2 linked regions of the Oryzias latipes genome follow. The protein of the gene in region 1 interacts with the protein of each later gene in a pairwise test. Links are inferred from orthologs where the notes say so. Each region holds a gene or a part of one and is shown in the gene's direction. Other genes may lie near its edges. The genes, in order: cdkn2d and nr4a2.

Region 1 (4,445 bases):
GTTACCCAGTGTTGAAAAGGACGAGCTTGAAGGCAAACCTCCCATTACTGTTAAATTTGAAATCCCATACTTTACAGTGTCAGGAATTCAGGTATGAATGCTTCAAAGTGTTTATTATATCAGTTGCCAATTACTGTATTGTCATTAAGACTTTTAAATAGTTTTTTTTATGTCCATTGACTTGTTTTGTCTTTGCCTTCTAATCTATATGCGATAATAATGTGTCATTTAACTTTATGCATTTTTTTTCAGGTTCGGTATATGAAAATCATTGAAAAAAGTGGCTACCAGGCTTTACCCTGGGTGCGCTATATAACACAAAGTGGAGGTATACTATAATAATTACGTATATTTGATTAAAATTCAAGTATGAAGTAGACACTATCTGTGTTTTAAATTGTGTGCATTTGTTGTTGTTTTAGATTACCAGTTGAGAACAAATGCCTAAGTAAAGCCTGCAAGATGCTTTACTGCATATCTCCAGGACTTCCAGAAGAGCACAATGAATTTTACCTTTTATCTGCACCTGAAGAATTTCTTTAATTTACTTCTTTTTTGTGTGTTTTAACTGTTTTATATTAAATCTCCATGCAATTTGATTTTATTGTCACCTTTTCAGATCTTTTTAAAATTGTTGAAATAAGATTATTCCTCTGAAAACAACTTGTTTTTTGTGCACCTGTTTCTTTGTGAGTTGTTCCTTGAGGACTTTATATGCTGAATTTAGCAGCCGTGGTGTGGTTCACCACCGTGCAATCAGTGCCGGCAAATTCCGCCTAAAACGAAAGACATGAACCCGCCTTTTTTTCCACACTGTTGTGAAGAAATACAACCAAAGCGTGGAAATGTGAATGGACTGTCTTTGAAGAAACAAACGAATACGAATCGCCCGCTTTCTTCGCTTCGCGCTCTGATTGGTCAATCCCCACTGTTACCACAGTGATAACGTAGTAACAGAGTTGTAACCACGCCTCTCTTACCATTTATGGAAGTACAACGCCTATTGGGCCACCTGTGATTGGCCAGCATATCTACTCTCCAATGTTTGTAAATTGTCGGCTAGATCCACTACTGTTTGGATCTCAGCGCGCAAATGTATTTGTCAATGTTTATAAACTCTTCCATTTTGAATTGTATTTAAAAAATAACCGGACTGCGGTGTCGGCGGGCTGAAAATTCGTATCGAGGATTCGGATACTAACGTATTGACGAAGGTAGGATTAAAGAGCTCGGTTTTTACGGTTAGCTTTTAGCTTTTCTGTTAATTTTCATAACTCTCTGTCGATGTGACTTAAGTGTCGGCCAATTTTCTCAATAAAAAAAATATGGATTTGGATATTTTCTGCCGTTTGATTAGCCCAAACAACCAAGTCAAAAACAGTACGCTTACAGTCACGTAACATGGCGTCACCGTAAAAACTACAAGTTACGTTAGCCGGATGTTGTTGTTAGCTAGGTGTAGCCGACAGCAATCTTCCTGGCTTTTTCAGTCTTCCTCGTGCATTTATGTGTTTTAATGGCCCAACTGTGGTTGATTTTCATGGTGTACGGGGCGCGTGTGCTGTTGAACAGGCAAGAACGGAGTTTATAATGGTCCTCAGTCAGATGGACGCTGGCAAAGCGTTGACGGCGGCGGCAGCCAAAGGGAATACCAGCGAAGTGCAGCGGATCCTGGAGGAATGCAGGGTGCATCCTGATACCCGGAATGAGTTCGGCAGGACGGCGCTGCAGGTGAGACCTGTCACGGTAGTAAGACATTAGTCATCTGTAGGCGGTTGGTTTGCTCCTCCACTGTATTTACAGCCCGCTATAAACATAAAACTCTCAACACTTGTTTCTTATAAAATCTTCACATCAAAAAGTGAGCTAAATATTTTTTTAAACCATCGTAATATACAAGGAATTGACTCTGCGCAATAAATAAGTCGCGCATGTTGCCAAATTAGTTCAGTAATGAATAGCCGCTTCCAGGAAGTTGCGCTGTTCCTGTTTTTGATACTTTTCACAGTAAAATGTTCGACGACACTTTCTGTAATTTGCAGACTTGACTGTACCGGAAATCTGATTTAGGCAACGGGGGTATTTTTTTTTTTTTTTACATTTGAGCTGCTTTAATTACGAATAAAAACTGTAAACACAGTAACCACACAACAATTACTATTCCAATATTTAATTAACCCAACATGCAGAGATTTCAAAGTAAAATAGTGGTATTTGGGTGGGAAAAAGGTTAGAAATTGTCCATTAATATTTATTACTAAGTACTGTATTTTATTTAATATATACTATTTATTGGTATACTATGGTAAACTAGTATACTATTAAATATAAATACTATTAATACTAAATCATCAAACAAGAATTATTGTTTTATTATTTCAATCCTTCACTGTGTTATGACTCCGTATTTTTAGAATTTAAATGTATTGTTTAGATGTTTTAATGTATTTGTAAGCAGCCCAGTACTCCCTTGGAATCTTAATGGGAATATCCTGATTAAATAAAGGTCAGAAAATAAAATATATTACTATTATTGCTGATGTCTCTGGAGCATCAGTGCCAGTGGTGGAGATACTAGTTGGTGCAACTTTTTCCCTATTTCCTTCATGGTCGAGTCTGTTTATATACTTTTTTTTAATGTACACTTCTATTATTCGGTAATTTTCCATTTGTGTTTTTTATGAAAAAGAATAAGTTAAAAAAAACGTGACAGAAATATTTTTTTTCTCCCACTTTTTATTTTATTTAATTAGAAGATTGTAAAACATGTTAAGTCAGGCTACTTGACGTGATGATACTGCATTTTTATAGCACACATAAAAAAATAAATGCTTTAACAAACTGTAAGCAGAAAAAATGAAAATGTTCTTTTTCAGGTTTAGTGCAGATCTCAAAGTAAAAGCTGTATTTTATTTAGTGTATTTGTTTTTTATGACAGTTATATTTTTATTTATTTCTATCTCTTATTATGGATGGATTTTTCTTTTCAAGCAAAAGTGAAGGCGTTCTGTAAAGGAAGTTGCTGATTTGTGCATGAGGGCTAATAAATATGCATACAATATTTATTTTTGAACAGGTTATGATGATGGGGAACTCCAAAATAGCAAGCTTGTTGCTGGAGAAAGGAGCAGACGCCAACGTCCAGGACAAACACGGCATAGCGCCTGTCCACGATGCAGCGAGGACAGGGTTCCTGGACACCCTGCAGGTCCTGGTGGAGAATGGAGCTTCGGTGAACATCCCTGACCAGAACGGCGCCCTGCCCATCCACATTGCCATCTGGGAAGGCCACCGCGATGTCGTGCAGTTCCTGGCTCCGCGTTCCAACTTGAAGCACGCCAACCAGAGCGGTCAGACGGCGATAGATGTAGCCCGAGCTTCCTGTGTGCCGGATATGATGGACTCACTTTTTGCTCATATACATAGTTAGAAAAGTTTTCTTCTCACTCGTCGTCATTCTTCATTTTTTTTTGGCTTCAAACCTTGTGACTTGAACTCATTGCTGTGTAAAAGATTATTTTTTTTTGTTATTTGTAGCTCAGCATTAATATGTGACACAAGACATATTGTCTTGGCAGCTTATTTTCAGTGGATGGGTGTCTATATACTGTAGATACCTCTTTTGCACAGTGCAATTTAGGCACCTTATACTTATGCATATATCTGTTTTCCCTTTTGACTGGGAGTGCACATTTGTATAAAGTTTCCGCAGTGTTTCCTAACTATTTCTATTGTGTAAGAATTCATACACGTGTGTTTCTTTTTAAATTACAAAACTTGACATGGTGCACCCTCGTTGCTTTGCCTAGTTGTTAATCTGAATTAGATGTACTTAGACTTTCAATTGACTCTTATTTATTGTTGGACTGAACATTTCCTGTGACGTTGTAAATACAAACATATTGTGATTTGTTTAAATGTTATTTATATAAAAACTTTTACGGAAAAAAGTGAGATTATTCACTTTAATATTTGAGGAAAAACAATAAAAGTGTTGAACTTCAAAGCGAAGTGTTTGAATTTTTCTTTTTTTAACTGATACTTTAAGTGTTCATAGCAACAGGAAAGTAAATGTGAAAAAAGGGGAGATGAAGTTAAAAAAAAAAGAAAATCATGTTGTTGCCTTTATTTTTACTGATTTTGTTTTCTTTTTTTTATAAGGAACCCACCTTTTGTATTTTCTTTCCCCCCCATGGAATTGAAGAAGAGTTTAATCAAATTCTTACATTTCTGAGATAATTTTAAGTATTCTTTAATAATTAAATTGTATAGATAGACATTTACTCCTAGTCCTCCAACACCCTGGATCTAATTTTGGCCTGAAATCTAGAAGAGAGGAGGAGTTAATGGGAATAAACAAACATGGAGTTACTAAGATGTATAGCTTAATAGAAAACGTGTTATTCTTTACTACTTTTTGAGCACAGATCCAGATTTTTCTCACT
Region 2 (3,471 bases), on another chromosome or scaffold:
AAGGACCTCATTAAGGCGCTGTTTAAATTAAATTCCAGTTCCAGGCAAACCCTGACTACCAAATGACTGGAGACAACACTCAGCACATTCAGCAATTCTATGATCTCCTGACGGGCTCCATGGAGATCATCCGGGGCTGGGCAGAGAAGATTCCGGGCTTCTCTGATCTGCCGAAGCAAGATCAAGATCTCCTCTTTGAATCCGCCTTCCTGGAGCTCTTCGTCCTGCGGCTGGCATACAGGTGAGAGGAAGAAAGGGTGATATAAATCCCCACCCAAACTTTGGATAATCAGGATTTCCTCCTTTAAGCTTCATTGCTTTTGGCTTTATTAGCTGCCTAATAATTAGACGCCTCTTAAATCCATTTTTATTGCCAAGTCTAATTAAGGGATTTTAATTTTAATTGCAGGTCCAATCCAGTGGAAGGGAAACTTATTTTTTGCAATGGAGTGGTGTTACACAGACTGCAATGCGTCCGCGGGTTTGGAGAGTGGGTGGATGCAATCGTGGAGTTTTCTTCTAACTTACAGAGCTTGAATATAGACATCTCAGCTTTCTCCTGCATCGCAGCTCTAGCGATGGTAACAGGTGCGTAAAAACAGCGGCACGTAAAGGAGCTGCATGCGCTAAAAAATCTAGTAGAACATTCCTCATCATTGTTTGCTCTTTTTTTCCCTTTATTTTCAGAACGGCACGGGCTTAAGGAACCTAAGAGAGTTGAGGATCTTCAAAACAAGATAGTGAACTGCCTCAAAGATCAAGTAACGTTTAATAGCGGTGGCTTGAATCGTCCCAACTACCTATCAAAACTCCTGGGGAAGCTCCCCGAACTGCGCACGCTCTGTACCCAAGGTCTGCAGCGTATCTTTTACCTAAAGCTGGAAGACCTTGTCCCCCCACCAGCAATAATTGACAAACTTTTCCTTGACACCCTACCCTTCTGAGTTTTACGCACTAGCCAAACTTCAAAGAACTTCCAAAAAGACTGAGACAAACTTATCAGATTACAGTTTCTAATTTTTTTTTTGTCTTTTTTGCAAGCTCCGTAAGCTATTAGAACAACTTATAAGGATTTAGGCAACATCAAAAGTAACGGAAGAAACTGAGTTTTATCGCTGCAGGCCTTTTATTTTACATTTTTCTTTTTGTTCTATTTTTATTCTGTGCGAATTAGGTGGATGTTTTTTTTTTAGCAGAAATCTCTTTCAAGCCCTTCTTGTTTATTGAACGTCGGCTCTGCTGAATCACTAAGTTGTAATATATTCCATTTATATAAACAGTATATATAAAAGTACACGCACACAAACCCTGTATATTATAATGATAGAAAATGGGATGCATCCAGCGCATCGGTTTATAATCTCTGTATAAAGTTTGTTATAATGAAAAGCTTTTCTTTTTGGACTCGTGCCTATATGTGTTTCTGACAGGATCCCAAAAATCCAGATAAGACAACGCATGTTCCACTTTCTGATTTTTCTTTTTTCATTTATAGGCACTTGCTGAGGTGATGTCTATATAATATATATACCGGACACTATGTAGTCTGCTAGATTTGATACAGATTCGTAGTTATGGCACTCTTTTTCTGTATGATGCATATGTGGAAAAAAATTATTTCATCTGTATAGAAAATGAGGGACCCATGGTGTTTGTAAAACTGTCACAGACATTCCTTGTTTGTATGTGCTGTAAGTATTGTTGCTGTTGAATATAAACGTTTCTATATATTTATTATTTCTATTGCCAAAAGCTACACTAAGCATGGTGCAATTTAAACGATTCCAACCCATCCAAGTTCATGCTGAGCACGTTGTCTATGTTTTAATGTCTTATAAACGTCTAGCTAGTTATGATTTAATAGCTTTGGAAGTGGCAAAAATAATTAATATTTCATCTTTATGAAGAGCTTCATGAGTGTATGATTCAGGCCCACACCTTTGGCATCACCGTCTCATTTGTGTAACGCATTCGGTGCCCAATTCAAAAACTTTAGAGATAAAGAAATATTTAATGTTTACAAATAAAACGTTTAACTTTCAATCTCTTGCCAAATATTTTCTCTGAAAATTAATAGACTTCTTTTCCTAATTACTTTTTTTTTTAACTGGAATGCGTTTTCGACGCGCTTTTATTTACAAAACAGAAGCCATGGCCCTCCATGCAATTTTAAAATAGCCATTTTTATTTTTTGTTGTAAAAATGAAACTTTTTAATGAGATAGATAATTTTTTTACCCCATTTTGTCGTTGAGATGAATGTATTCATAAGCGCGCACATAAAACATGCACTTCTGGCCGAATGCGCCTACATTTAGCAGCTATTTCTGCACTCTAAATTACTTTTTAATACGACTGTAATTTAGAGAATAACCTGCAAGCGTTTTTGTAATCTTTCCCAATTCTCCGACTGTTTAAATCGGCACCAAAGTGACATTTTTTTAGTCTCCTCCTATCTGAAAATGTGTTTTGCCCTTTTAATCTATTTAACCAAAGTAAAGGAAATAGTCGCAACGGCCTATACAGACGTCAATTAAAAAACAATTTTATTTATAAATAAAGATGATCCTGGTTACATTATTTTGAGAGATTTTTGTTGGAGAGTAACTCAAATAAGTTGCGATCCATACAATTTTGCGCATCATGTCTGTGAATTGCTTATAGGAGAAACTTGTTTGTTTCAAAGTTGCCCCTTTCCGAGATCAAGACTGAATATTTGCACAAACAAATGCGAGGCGAACCAATCAGCTTAAATGTGAATTTTAATTGCGCAGCTTGCATTCGGTGTCAAAGCTCTCAGACTGTCGGTGGAATTACAAATTTAAGTGAACAAGTTGATGCTTCAAAAAGTTTTCTTTAAGAAGAATAAGCAAAACAAATCAGGTTTCCCCTAAACTGCAGCCTCTTGCGCCACAGCCTGCGTTTGGATGAAAACGCGAGTTTGATGATTGTAAGCCTGCGGAGTTACCGACCACTTTGCGCAAAGTCCTGCTCTGCACTTCTTTCTTCTCCTCCCTGCGCACCGGTTTAATGCGCTCCCTTTAATCTCTGCTTACTGATAACACACCTACACTTCAATCATCTTTTTAAGGCGCGTCACGACTGCATCTATCGTTGTAAGCGCAAAGGTAAAAGTCAGCGGAGATTGCCCAAACAGAATTGAGGCAGACCGCTGTCACAAAGCCTTTTCTTTAGACTGGCATAAGAGAGAAGTGACGCCAAGCTCTGAGGCATGTCTGGGATTTATCAACATTTACCACACGATCAAAATGAAGGGAACAGCATATTTTGAGAGATATTAGCAGCAGGCAATAAATTGTCTAAATGATTAGATCGTGACTAGAAAGTGCTAATTCCAAGGCAAATTGGGATTACATTCAGAACCAGTTTGCTGACATTTAGCAGATCTGTTGAAAGGGTGCAGTACAATGTCACAAGTTTCCTCTGTTGACTCTAAGTACAGTTAGGCTTC

What was found.
Region 2: the proteins of cdkn2d (region 1) and nr4a2 interact in binary tests that used the Homo sapiens proteins (3 or more experiments, as listed by UniProt). The two-hybrid records come from large-scale screens. The link is inferred for Oryzias latipes from reciprocal best matches to the Homo sapiens genes CDKN2D and NR4A2.

Annotation. Positions count from the first base shown.
Region 1 is NC_019859.2:10,441,153-10,445,597, reverse strand, and holds cdkn2d (cyclin-dependent kinase 4 inhibitor D), read left to right. Parts: upstream 1-1,386; 5' UTR 1,387-1,506; coding exon 1,507-1,731; intron 1,732-3,076; coding exon 3,077-3,430; 3' UTR 3,431-4,006; downstream 4,007-4,445. Other genes in the region: ap1m2 (AP-1 complex subunit mu-2), read left to right, coding at 1-91, 253-328, 423-448. UniProt on the Homo sapiens protein: Interacts strongly with CDK4 and CDK6 and inhibits them.
Region 2 is NC_019879.2:20,515,817-20,519,287, reverse strand, and holds part of nr4a2 (nuclear receptor subfamily 4 group A member 2), read left to right. Parts: intron 1-38; coding exon 39-241; intron 242-409; coding exon 410-588; intron 589-687; coding exon 688-944; 3' UTR 945-3,471. UniProt on the Homo sapiens protein: Transcriptional regulator which is important for the differentiation and maintenance of meso-diencephalic dopaminergic (mdDA) neurons during development.